2 linked regions of the Caenorhabditis elegans genome follow. The protein of the gene in region 1 interacts with the protein of each later gene in a pairwise test. Each region holds a gene or a part of one and is shown in the gene's direction. Other genes may lie near its edges.

Region 1 (7,444 bases):
TGAGTGCCTCGATGGTGGTCTGAAATTTAAAAAAAAGTTATGATGCTCTAATCATATTGATCTTACCGTTTTTCCTGTTCCATTTGGTCCACTGATTAGTGTGCACGGAGAGAGGAAATCAATTTTGTGAACATCGTGGTCCTCATCACCGACACTTCGAATTCCTCTGATGTGTAGCTGAAATTTTCATAAATTTAGTATTTTCAGAGTAAAAATAAATTTGCAGACTTACGCGTAAAAATTTCGCCATAAGCAATTCCCAGGCTTCGATAAGCAAATATCTGAAACATTCTCATTTGCAAATAGGTTTATTCAAAGAAAAATGTTGCGAAATTAAATTAATATATTGATTCCGTTGGAAACTCTGGAAAAAGGACTAAGTAAAGTGAAATTCCTGAGTATTTTCAATTAATTCCTGTGTAAAGTGGGCCTTCTGCGTATTTTTAATTAATTTTTGCGTAAAGTTAAACTCTTGCATGAAGTAAAAAAACAGAAAAAAAACAATTTCGAAAACTGACAAAAAAACAGTTTCCGATTCAAAAATAGAGCGCAAAAACAAAATACGATGCTCCGAAGTTCCGCAAGCGCGTGTTGTTTAACCGAAAGAAGATTTCGATTTTTTCTTTTCCCTCTGCTTTTGATTTTGAGCTTCATATTAATTTCTTCATTCTGAAAATCACGAAAACTCGGTAAAAGCTTCCTGTTTATTTTAATTTTTGGCAATCATGAAATTTTTTTTCAAATTCTCACATGGTTAAAAAACATCAGTCAAACGATTGATAAGATATTTTCCGAACAACTGATAAACTCGTATTCTAGAAATCGTACAAACGGTTTTATTGTTGTTTATTTTGAACTGAACGTTTTTGTCTAAGGAAATGCATCATATTGCGTCACATCGAATGTTGTTCTTAAGAGTAAGGAAATATTTCGCAATTTTCTGCAACATTCTTTAACGGCTGTGTTCGGTCATTTTACTTGTATTTAGGGCTACTAACAGCCCCACTTGTATTATTATTATGATTTTACCTTTCGTTCCAGAAGGCTGAAATTTTAGAAATTCTGAGTAAGACTAACTTTTATGTTTTATTCCAATATATTTACTGTTTAAAAGTATCCTCCATTGTCACCTGGTATTTAGAATGATTATTAACCTGTCGAATGCACCTTCAAAGATCTCAATGCCCACCTACGTGTGAAAACACTTACTTCCTTCTCATTTCCGTCCGATCGTAATCAAAAAGAAACAGGTTTTCCTCTCTCTCATCATCTGTCTTCCAAGCTTCAACTTCAACCTTCCTTCAGTATCTTCTTATTCTTCCAGCTGTCCACTGCCAATCAGTAGGTTCATATTCCCGTAAAAAATCGCCATTTTGTCTGGTTTCTTTTGATTTGAACGCTTCTTTTCATCTCATTCCTCTCTTATTCTCTCATGTATTTGCTCAATCATTCAGCATGCTCACTGTGAAGCTTGTGTGTGCATAATTTCTTTTCATAGAATCGAGCGACGTGGAAATCGATATTTCTCACTGTTCCTTTTTTCAATATTGACAAATTTCCAGTTCAAAAGTCAACTTAACTTGTTGTTATGTTCCTCTCCGATTTTTTCTGTCTTATTTTCTTCTTTCGAAAACAACAGCGGCTCCCCTTTCCCACTTTTTTCTCTTCATACGTCAATTCTCTAAGTTCTCATATTTCTCTACAATCTCTACATGTTGACCGAACCAGTTAACAACTGACTTTTCAAAACCTCTCGAAACACGACATTTTTTTCTCAAGTACCCGAACCTCTCTCCCTATGATTAAAATTTGATGTTCCAGAATCGGAGAATCGAATGATAGATCGAATACGGCGTGAGCAGTAGTTATCCAACTGATTATCTCATTTCATAAAATAATAAACAACTCAATCTCACTATGGATTTTATGATTTCACATTTCTGCGATGAGCAGAATCATCAGCCACTTTACAAAACTAGGTGAGTACGATAAATATTGTGTGGTTAACATTTGAAAATTTTATTTCTAAAATCAAAATTCATTTATTTAAATTCCTTATAAAAAATAAATCAATTCTAAAACATTGATATAAAATCAATTCAATTTATTTAATGTCGCCAAATCATTTAAGGTAGTATATTATATTATTTTTTACAGACGACAATCAATATCGGACTCTAAAAATGGACCAACACTTCTCAGCTCTTCACTGCCAACTAACGATGAATGTTCCGACTCCGACACCGAAAACCGATTGCCACCTGAAACGGAGCTTGGAAATATTGAGTACAAAGCAAAATTAGTAAATCCAACGACATCTCGTATACAACATCTGATCACTCAAATGAAATGGCGTCTTCGTGAGGGTCAAGGAGAGGCTATTTATGAAATTGGCGTTGAGGATGGTGGAATAATGTCTGGATTAACAGACGAGGAACTGAATGATTCACTTCGGACCTTGAGAACGATGGCCCAAGCTCTTGGGGCGAGTATGGTTATTTTGACCGAGAAAGACGTTACTGTTAAGGGATCAAATTCACGGAGAACTGTAGTCGAGGTAATTATTATTGAGTCATATTTTATCTAAATGAAATTATTTTTCTAGGTACTTGTCCGAAAGGTTCCTGAAAGCCAGCAATTCATCGAAGTTCGTCTTGCTGTCGTTGGAGGATGCGATGTCGGAAAATCAACACTGTGTGGAGTGTTAACACAGGGTTGTCTGGACGACGGAAACGGAAAAGCAAGAATTGGAATATTCAGATTTCCACACGAAGTGCGAACAGGAAAAACCAGTTCTGTCTGTAATGATGTCATTGGCTTCGATAATCGTGGAAAGGTTAGAAATTTTTCGAAACATTCAGAATGGGTTAAAATATGCTTGAAAATATTTAAAAAAAAAAACAGTAAACTGATTAAATTGTAGATAATTTCTTTATTGAAAATTTTAAAGTTGGATCCTATTTATTAGGGTTTTTGATTTAAATAATTAAAAAAATGGACGGTAATACCGAATATAATTGTTTCAAAAAATCATAAAATTTTTATAATTTTTTCAATTTTGCAAAAATAAAAAAATAAAAATCTGTTTTTGAATTCCCGCCCAATTATCAAAAATAAAAATTTAAAAAGTTAGAAAGATTTTATAACTTTTAAAATCAATTAAAATCGATTATTACGGTCAATTTTTTTTTCATTCAAAACAAAATTTCAAAATGATTCTACTCCACTTTTGAATACAAAAACAATGAATTTAGAAAAATTTTATTTGAAAAACTTAAATTCGATTTTTTTAAATTTATTTATAAATATCTAATTTTTACTTTTTTCAGCTAGTCAATTATGCACAAAATAGTCTCGAAGAAATGGTGGAGAAGTCTTCAAAACTTGTAACACTTATCGATCTGGCTGGAGACGCAAAATATCAGAAAACGACAATTCATGGATTAACCGGATACACTCCTCATTTCGCTTGCCTTGTTGTAGCCGCCGATCGAGGAATCACGTGGGCCACTCGTGAACATCTTGGATTAATTGCCGCTTTAAACATTCCAATGTTTGTACTGATCACAAAAATGGATCTAGTCGATCGACAAGGACTTAAGAAAATCATCAAAGATGTTTCCAATCTTGTTGCGAAAGCAGGGATGACAGCTCGCGAGAAAAGAGTGAAAACTAAAAGAGACGCAGTGAAGGCGGCACAAGAACTCTGCGTTGGTAGTATCGTACCAGTTCTTGCTGTTAGTTCAGTGAGCGGAGAAGGTTTTCGTTGTCTCAGAACACTTCTCAATTGCCTTTCTACAGCTGGAACTGCAGAGTCACGTATTCAACTAGTTGGACTCCCAGCCTTTTTCACAATCGAGGAACTATATAATGTGCCTCATGTTGGACAAGTAGTTGGAGGAATGCTATCTGAAGGACAATTGCATGAAGGAGCAGATGTTCTTGTTGGACCCATGAAAGATGGAACTTTTGAAAAAATTACTGTCGGGTCGATTCGAAGAAGCCGGCAAGCCGTAGGATGTGTTAATCCTGGTGAAGCTGCATCGATATCCTTGAATCTTCCAGACGGTGTCAGTCTAAGAAGGGTAAGTATTTTTTTCCACAGAAAAATCATTCGAAATGTGAAACATATTGATTATTTTCATTAAAGGGAATGGTTCTTGCTGAAATCGATCATCAACCACCAGTTTGTTACGAATTCACTGCCAATCTTTTACTGCTGTGTCACTCGACGAAATACATATGCGAAGGATTTCAAGCCACAGGTGAGTACTTTTTCTCATTTCAACTTTCAGTTTTGATTTTTTCTGAAATAATTTATGAACTTTTTCAGTGTTTATCGGAAGTGTCTGTACAACTGCCATTATTACTCACATCGACGATGCAGACTGCATCCGTCCAGGAAAATGGGCTGTAGTTAAAATGTGTTTCGCCTATCAACCAGAAGTCATTCGTGAAGGATCACCAATTATTCTTCGTCAAGGAAAAACCAAAGGAATGGGAGAAGTATTAAAAGTATTTCCGTGCACCCAATGATAATTGTTAGTCTGAAAATCTCTAAATTTTACTGCCACCCCCCCCCCCCCCTCCCAATTATCTTGTATATTTTGTGTAGACCTCTTTTTTGTAGTCTTTTTTCACTCTCTCTCTCTTTGCCCTCTCCTCCTAGGTACCCGTGTGTTTACATTTTGCTCCGGGTTGATAATAGTTGTACATAGTTGAAATTGTACAATTCTGAATATTTGTTCACTAAGTGAACCTTTTTGTCTCCAAAAATACTCTAGATCCTCTTTTTTCTCTTCTTCCAGGTGCCCCCACTCATTCTATTCATTTTTTGTAGCATTTTTTGCGCTACTGCTTTTTTAGTTACAATTTTAAAAATGAACTGAATTCACTCTTCCTAGATGTCCCATTTCAATTATTCTAGAAACAAATTTATTAGGAAGTACACATTCAATGGATACAATCAGTGGTTTCTCCACTGAACTGATTAGCTAAGTTCAAAGTTCCAATATCATAATTATCAGTCGAGCTACTTCCAGATGCAACTGCATAATCAGGAATATTGATTGTCACTTTCTTTGAACATGGTCCATTGTAATTACAACTATGATATATATTCACTTTTGGATCCAATGTTAAAATATCTGTATATGTTCCAGAAACAGAAAATGTTCCATCAGATGAGGTGGTCGTCGAACCTAATTTCGAGTCATATACTGAAAAAATCAATTGTTTCAAAACAGTTCTTCCAAATAATAACTTACTCGTTCCATCGTCATACATCTTCACGAGAACTCCACTGGCTGGCTGTCCTTCACAAACCAATTTTCCCGTTACAGTAACACTTTGAGTGCTTCCGATAACATTGAGTAAAGCATCGGAGCAATGAATCAAAAAGAAAACAGAAAGAGCAATATATGTAATTGAAAACATTGTGAACACAAAATTCAGAGTGATTCTTGTAAGACATTTATATACTGTCTACAAGAAGTAAATAGAAACACAGTTCGAGTAAATATAGTCGTTACAAATTGTTACTTTGCTCACTGACTCAATAATTGTCACTTAAAATGAAATCATAGATCAACGACAAAGGATATAATTGGTTCTTTTTAGATAATTCTATTGTAAATATCAACTTTGTTCAACGACTAAAAGTCCATTTTAAATTTGGTGAAACGCCAATAGTAAAAACTTTTAAAATCACTATATGATGCTCACAACGGTAGAAATGACTCAGTTTTCACATTTCATAGTTTTGAAGGTTGACCAAAAAACTTTTAACTTGGATTACATTAAATTAATTTGTAATTGATTTGTAGGGTTTCGAACATACAAGAATGCTTAATGTGATAAAGTTTAAACTAACTTTAAGAACATACTGAAAATTACAAAAAGTGTGAAACATGCTAGTGATTAAAAAATAAATATTCAGTATTTTTGGTTCATTTGTATACTTGACGGAACTGACCACATGGTGTCAGAGTGTCCCATATCGGTACAATCTACAAAAAATTCTTAAATTTAGACGCAGACTTCTCAGCAGATTCCGCATGGTTGAGAGCATGTTTATGCTCGAGAAATTCCTGATTTCTCGTAGATCAACCCGTAATGGGACAGCCTGACACCACGTGACTGAATCTACCACACCTTTACACCAAGACTACTACGACAAAATACTATTAAGGAAAATATTTTTTGCTCAATAGTTTCCTGATCTGAAGCTATGTTTTTGACTTTGTCCACTGAATGCAAAATTATATTCTAGAAAATAGTTCAAATTAATTGAAGTGGATCTACGAACCTCTAAACTCTAGAAAAATAGGAAGGAGGAATTTATATCGTAAATTAGTGTATAAGGTAGAAAAAGTTCAGGACTCGAAAAAACATAATATTTTTGAATTGAATCGTAGTTGCAAATCACGTATATATTAGCAGACTATGGAAGAAATTGGGGTTTTATCAAAAAAACAAGATACAATTGAAAGCGATTCTACAAATGGTCCGGAATATAAAGTTATAATGCCCCAAATAAAAATCGAACCATCAATTCTCGATATGCAACGCTTTCATCACAGTTGATCTATAATTCCGTGACATTGAAAAATTGATTAAACAATGTGCAGCCGCATTGAAACAGAAAAATGTATCAACCCAAACATCGCCATACAAGAGAACCATGTGGAGAATTGTATTAAATTGTGGATTAATGAATATCCAGATAAATTCAAATGCACCACCAGGAAGACTTGAAATTGTGTAGAAGATTGTCATGCACATTATCATCCTTCCCGACCGATATCTTGAAATTGAATTTAATAGTTAAGTTAATAATCAAATCAGCTGGCATACCGTTCTATTGCATCTTGTCTACTGAGTGTCACTGATGCGAAGCGTGCAGATTTAATGATTTCAAACATTAAAAGTGCACCAAAAATTGGATAAACAATTGTGATGATCATCTGAAACCAAAAAATGAGTTTATGTTTTTGTATTAATAAATCTAGTAAAAATACTTCGAAGTTTGAAAAATAATCATTCAAACAATTCCAATACGATTCAAAAAAAAAAACGGAACTATTCTAAAATTGCGGGCAATAAAATTACATTAATTTTGAGTTGTTCCAAATTCTAATAATCTCAGATTTCCAATCGCATACTTGTCAGATCAAATTGCTACTCGGAAGTTTAGCTATATCCTAGAAAGCGTAAAGCAAAATCCAAAAAAAAATTTTAAAGTCTTCCTACCCGAAAACTCCCAGTTGTGTATCGATAATTGTCTATCGAAATAATAGGATGTTCTCCAATCTGGTGATCGTAAAACATATTAGTGAAGTTTTCTGGTACTCCCGTGCAACTGAAAGATAAACGTTACTTCAAGGTTCTTTGTAAAATGAATCTTTCTCACTTTTCATCCCATGGTGCACCAATCAAATCATAT
Region 2 (5,461 bases), on another chromosome or scaffold:
TTTTATCGTTATCCTTTGCCACTTACATATGTTAACAACGACGAAACACATCACACGAATTTTATTGTTGCGCAATTTTTTAGTTGAATCACAGAATTATTAGAAAAATTGAATCATAATAGTTTAGCGTTTTTAATATCAAAAATTGCACCTCAAATCGGGAACTTGAGTTACCACAATTTCTTGTGTACTGGCGGAGAGAGGAGGATAAAGGATACAGGCAGCAGAGCCTAAGCTCAAGCCAAAGCCCAACAAGCCTGCGCGTAATCATAAGCCAAAGCCTTAGCCTAAGCATAATCTAAGATTAAGCCTAAGCCTAATCCTAAGCTTCGGCCTACGCCTAAGCCTAAGCCTATGACGAATAGTCAAAAGTATCAAGTTTTTCAGATTATTTGGAACATATGTAATTGAACATGTGATTGGAAAAGTCCAAGACGAGAACACATCCATCACCTCCCCACTCATCCTACCCCAATTTTCTAAAATCACATGGAACCTGTTATCAGAGTTTGTTTGACTTCTCTCGTTTATACGGAACTGAAATATTTTTTATGAAAAGTGTGATCACATGTCCGACGACACCCACTAAAAATTTGACAACTTCGTACTTTCTTCTCCTTTGAAATCATCAATTTCTCCTGGTCATAGGGAAAAGAGATAGAGAGAGAGAGAAAGATAGAAAAGAGAAAATAGATCAGTATCTGTCTATTTCTCTAATTTTCTCACTTATTCTTCATCGGAAGAAGAAGAAGATGAAAAAGACAACGTCATCCACAACCTGTCGTCCCCCACACACCCCTACGACCACAAAAACTGTCCCCGTTTTTTCGACACCTCCCTGATGTTTTTCCCGCAAATCCTATTAAAGCTCACGCGCCTAGACTTCTTCAGATAGCACTCATAAAAGCTATTATTCGCTATTTGTCAAGTAAAATTGCCACATTGGCTCCTGTCACGAATGAAAATTTTCCGCTACCGTACCCTTTATTTTTTGTTGTAATTTTCAATTCTTTTGATATTCTTGATGTAAAAATTATATTTTTTATCGAAATCCCGTCAAATATGCTTGGAAAAAACGAAATTTCAAGAAAATCATCATCTACCGTACTCATGGGTACTGTAGCTGAAAAGTTTCACTCGCGTCGAGACCCGGAAGCATCATTTTGCTTTGAAATTTGCGCGTTTTTCCGATTTTCGATTCAATTATTAGATGAATTGAAAACTATCAGCGAAATCGTTTTATCATTTGACAAAACCTGAAAATTTTCTAAAAATGTTTTTTGTCAGACTGAAGAAAAATTATTTTTAGATTAAAGGATTAAAGGATTAAAGGACGATCGGTTCTTCAAGTGCTATGCACTGCGGATCTGGGATTCAGGTACACTGCCTGGTGGTGATCCTCTGGGCTGTAATTTTAAGCCACGTCCTAGCCGGGGACTGTGGCCGATAATCCAGTCGTGGATTGCTCCACTTCCCAATAGACATTCTCTTATTTTAAAAATAGAAATGTTGCAATTAATCGGAATTTTGCAGTTGAGGGGTATCGCCCCAAAAAAATTTTAAAAAAATATGTTTCAAAAAAGTACTTCTTGAGGACTGAGGCGACTCAACTCTTCCCCCACCTTCCACCAATTTTGCTCATATAACAGTCCACAATTGTGTGCCCCTCAATATATTTCCCCTTCGGTATAATTGGCCCATTTGCCCTCCACAATCTATTCACACTGTCCATCCCGACCGTCCGTCTCTGTTTCTCTCTTCTCCGTCGTCCCCCACACTTTTCCTACCCCCGCTTGTCGTTTGCACGGCCTTCAAACCCAAAAAACCGATGAAAACCGTATCTGAAATAGTTCTACTCTCCGTTTCCTCGTTTTCTTTGTTCTAGAATGGTTTCAAGTTCGAAATTCTCAAAAAATTATGAGGTTCGAATATTACCCAGACGCAAAATTTTGAGATTTTTGCCCTGAAAATACGGTACCTGGCCGCGAAAAGGCAATTTCTGAGATTTACAAACGGGGGTGCGCCTTTAAAGGATACTGTAATTTAAAGCTTTCGTTGCTCTCTGATCAGATTTTAATTGATTTTTCATAGTTGATCTCACAATTTATTAAATCGAATAATTTTGAATTTTATTATCTTAATTATTAATAAAGTAATATTATTTAATAAGTAAATTTATTTTCAACCAAAAACTATGAAAAATCAATGAATACTGAAATTACAGTACTCTTTAAAGGCGCACACCCATTTGTTTTCAACAAAAATGTCATGTCGAGGGCCATTTTTGCAGCTGATTTTTGCTATTAACCCTGAACAACTAAAATTGAGAAAATTGTCCAAATTTCATTCATTTTAGCCATTTTTGTAAGTCGAATTGATAATTTCTGAAAAACTCCCGCCATTAATTTCAAATTACGATCTGCAAACACCATCACGTAAAAATGCACAGTTTTGCCTCACGTTAAAATTTGCAAATTTAATTTTAAAAAATTTATTTTCTCATCTTTTCTCCTCATATTCTCTTCATTTCTAGTAATTTTCGTTCGAACAATTCGATTTCAGAATCAATAAAACATTAAAAATGACGGAAGGGGACGATCAATTAATATCGATTCGCAAACAACTTGAAAATTTAAATAATGCAACAGATGACATCAACAGTTATGAGATGAAGTTGGAAACTGTCAAGAAACAGTTTTGGTGAGTTTTAATTCATTTTTTATTTTAAAATAATTGCTTAATCGCTACACGTCTAAAACTGGAAACCTTTTATTGCACTAGTCATTCTTAACCAATTAATTCGCAAAAAATCGTACCAAATCTGGTTTTGATGCTAAAATAATCTTATATATTTTCAGTGAAACCCAACTAATGTTCAACAAAGAAATGCTTGGAATCCCTAAAAAGTTGGCCAAACACATATCAAAATCCCGTCAATTTTTCGATTTGAAAAGCCGCGAATCGGAAATCAGAAGATGTGTTCAACAAGCGGCAGCTCAATTTGAACGACAAAAAACTTCAGTTGAAATGGCAAGAGAACAAGTGCAAATACTGCATAATTCATTGAATAACAATCAAGAATTGGATGCAGAGAAACAATATGTTGATGTGATTGAGCAACAGTTGGAATTGGTTAAAGAAGCTGAGGGAGAATGTTTAAAAGCTGAAAAGTGTCATGCATCACGTGTCAGGGATTTGTTACAGTTGGAAATGGCTTTAAGGAAATGTTTAGAGGAAAATGGGTGAGTTTCAGGCATCAGGCAATTTTCTGACAATATATTTTCCGAATTTCAGATCTGCCATCAAAAAATCCCGGCCCTATTACGAACGAAAAGAAGTTCTGACGCGAACAATGAATTCTCAACTTGAGTTAATGTCAATTTTGGAGCATGAAGTAAGAACTAATAAGAATAAAACTGTATATAGATTAAAATAATTTTTAATTTCCAGGTACAAGAACGAAAAGACAGCTACAGTGATTCGATGCGAGCTTTAGAGCAGATCAGCGATCAAATTCATCAGGAGCGTTCCTCGCAAAGCAGTTTGGCTCCTTCGAGTGATGCAGAATCCGACAGCTCTTGATACTCTGAGCCACACCCTTTCTTCTCAATTTTCCACGTGTAATATTAGATTTTTCACGAAGTTTCGAAATCTCGATCTCACTTGTACTCACGTTCCACACCCAATCAACTTCACCAAAAATGTATTTTTACGGGTTTCAATCCCCTTTCTCTTTGCTCCTCATTTTCTCTATGTATCTCTTTATTTTGTGTTCGTCTGGTGCTTAATAACAATTTTCTTGAAACATTAAAAATTGTGATAATGAGAAGACGATGAAGTGCCCACAAAAGCATCTACGTGTGCACACGCTGCACTTCTTGTCGGAGCACTGGATTTATCAAGCAATCGTGAAGCCAATGTGCATAGCTCACAAAGAGTGGATGCCCTTGTCGCTGGTGGCAATCTGAGGGTGAAATAGATTGTTGAAAAATTGTAATTTTTTGAAATTTTGAGACGTTAAAAAAAATCGAAATTTCGTTGACTTGCAACTTGCGCGTCATATATAGTGTCAAGTACGCATACACCGCGACGGTAGAATGCACAAAATTGTCAATTTCAAAATTTTCATGATTTTTCTTTTATTTAACAATTCAATTTCTCACCTGCTAACCGAAGCGGGTCTTCTTTCTTCTGGAATAATTGGAATTTCTTCATCAGAATCCCATTTAAAATACTGAAAATTGTTCACACGCCGGCCAAGCTTTGGAATGCTCTAAAAATATTTGTGTCATATTATTGTTTCACTTAATTGAAGAGATTACAGGCATTTCTATATCATTCCGATTATTGCTCAATTCCCTAATAACCAACAATTCATGAGTTTCTCTACGAATTTCTTCATCTCTCTTCCTCTGTTCCTTCGCTTTTTCCTCTTCTTCAATACGACGTTTTACCTCTTTCTTCGCCTCTTCCCGCTTCTCATTTCTTCTAATCAGTTCTTCAATTTCACTTGATTGTTGTGGTTTAGGTGGCTTGAGTGGTTCTGGGAGAATTTTCAGGCACCTATGACAATATTTCTCAGACTCTAAACCTACTTGGCTTCCTTAAATGCGGACGTAGATCATCCTCGGACAGAGTTACAGAAAATCGACGATCTGACGCCATAATTTGATGTAAAGTAAAAATGGAGAAGCTTTTTTGTCTGGTTTGCTGGTTTCCAATGGAAACTCTCCGTACATTTTTCAATAAAACGTGGATCTAAAGCTACTAGGCAACCACCAAAATATTGTAGAATTTGAATTTCCGCCATAATTGGTTGGTCTCATCACGATATTCATCCAAATTTATGGCCCAAAACCTAAAGATAGTTTTCCAGTATTTCAATAGGCTTCGTTCCCGTCAAAAATAAGTTTTTCGAGAAAATACAAAATATTTTGTTGCGAAACTATAGTTAGGAGGTTATATTCTTTACCGTTTTTCCGCCAGACACTAAATCTTTATCAGTCGGACAATATTCATCAGACCTGTAAATTTTCTCTGTGTCTCCGTCATTTCTTTCAAAACGCGCGCCAAAATTTGAATTCGAACAATTGGCGCGAAACCTCTATTGCGCCCGCTGATTTCGTTCATTCACTCATTTCATTTCTCATTCGCTTCGTCTTGTGTGCACTGGAAGTGCACTCATTTGTCTTTTTCTTGTTAAATCTTTTCAATCACCATTTTTAATTAAATAACTTTAGGTTTTTGAAATTGAATAGCTGCTTTCCGGCTTTTCAACACATTTATAGATTCTTTTTCAATATATAAATTGAATGTTTTTCCAACAAAAAAAAATCGTTCGGTCACTCCATTGGTCACTTTTTTATCAGTAAGCCTCGCAAAAACAATATATTTTTGATAAGGAATTCATTCAAAATTCAGTGCAAGAGCCCTATTCTAATTTCTCACCCATTTATTTGCA

What was found.
Region 2: the proteins of slfl-5 (region 1) and rei-1 interact in a two-hybrid assay, tested with the Caenorhabditis elegans proteins (2 studies listed by BioGRID).

What each region holds. Positions count from the first base shown.
Region 1 is NC_003283.11:12,239,422-12,246,865, reverse strand, and holds slfl-5 (Tr-type G domain-containing protein), read left to right. Parts: upstream 1-1,821; 5' UTR 1,822-1,835; coding exon of another isoform or gene 1,836-1,865; 5' UTR 1,866-1,917; coding exon 1,918-1,979; intron 1,980-2,157; coding exon 2,158-2,557; intron 2,558-2,605; coding exon 2,606-2,836; intron 2,837-3,329; coding exon 3,330-4,085; intron 4,086-4,150; coding exon 4,151-4,265; intron 4,266-4,333; coding exon 4,334-4,536; 3' UTR 4,537-4,895; downstream 4,896-7,444. Other genes in the region: rad-50 (Zinc-hook domain-containing protein), read right to left, coding at 1-19, 67-177, 233-281, 1,210-1,220; ttr-22 (Transthyretin-like family protein), read right to left, coding at 4,954-5,219, 5,268-5,436.
Region 2 is NC_003281.10:4,095,249-4,100,709, reverse strand, and holds rei-1 (Guanine nucleotide exchange factor rei-1), read left to right. Parts: upstream 1-2,519; 5' UTR 2,520-2,581; coding exon 2,582-2,700; intron 2,701-2,858; coding exon 2,859-3,242; intron 3,243-3,294; coding exon 3,295-3,394; intron 3,395-3,450; coding exon 3,451-3,582; 3' UTR 3,583-3,807; downstream 3,808-5,461. Other genes in the region: C03C10.7 (uncharacterized protein), read right to left, coding at 3,808-3,964, 4,164-4,273, 4,323-4,543, 4,596-4,665. UniProt on the Caenorhabditis elegans protein: Guanine nucleotide exchange factor for Rab GTPase Rab-11.1. Spatially and temporally regulates the distribution of Rab-11.1 to target membranes during embryogenesis. Plays a role in cytokinesis, probably by targeting rab-11.1 to the cleavage furrows.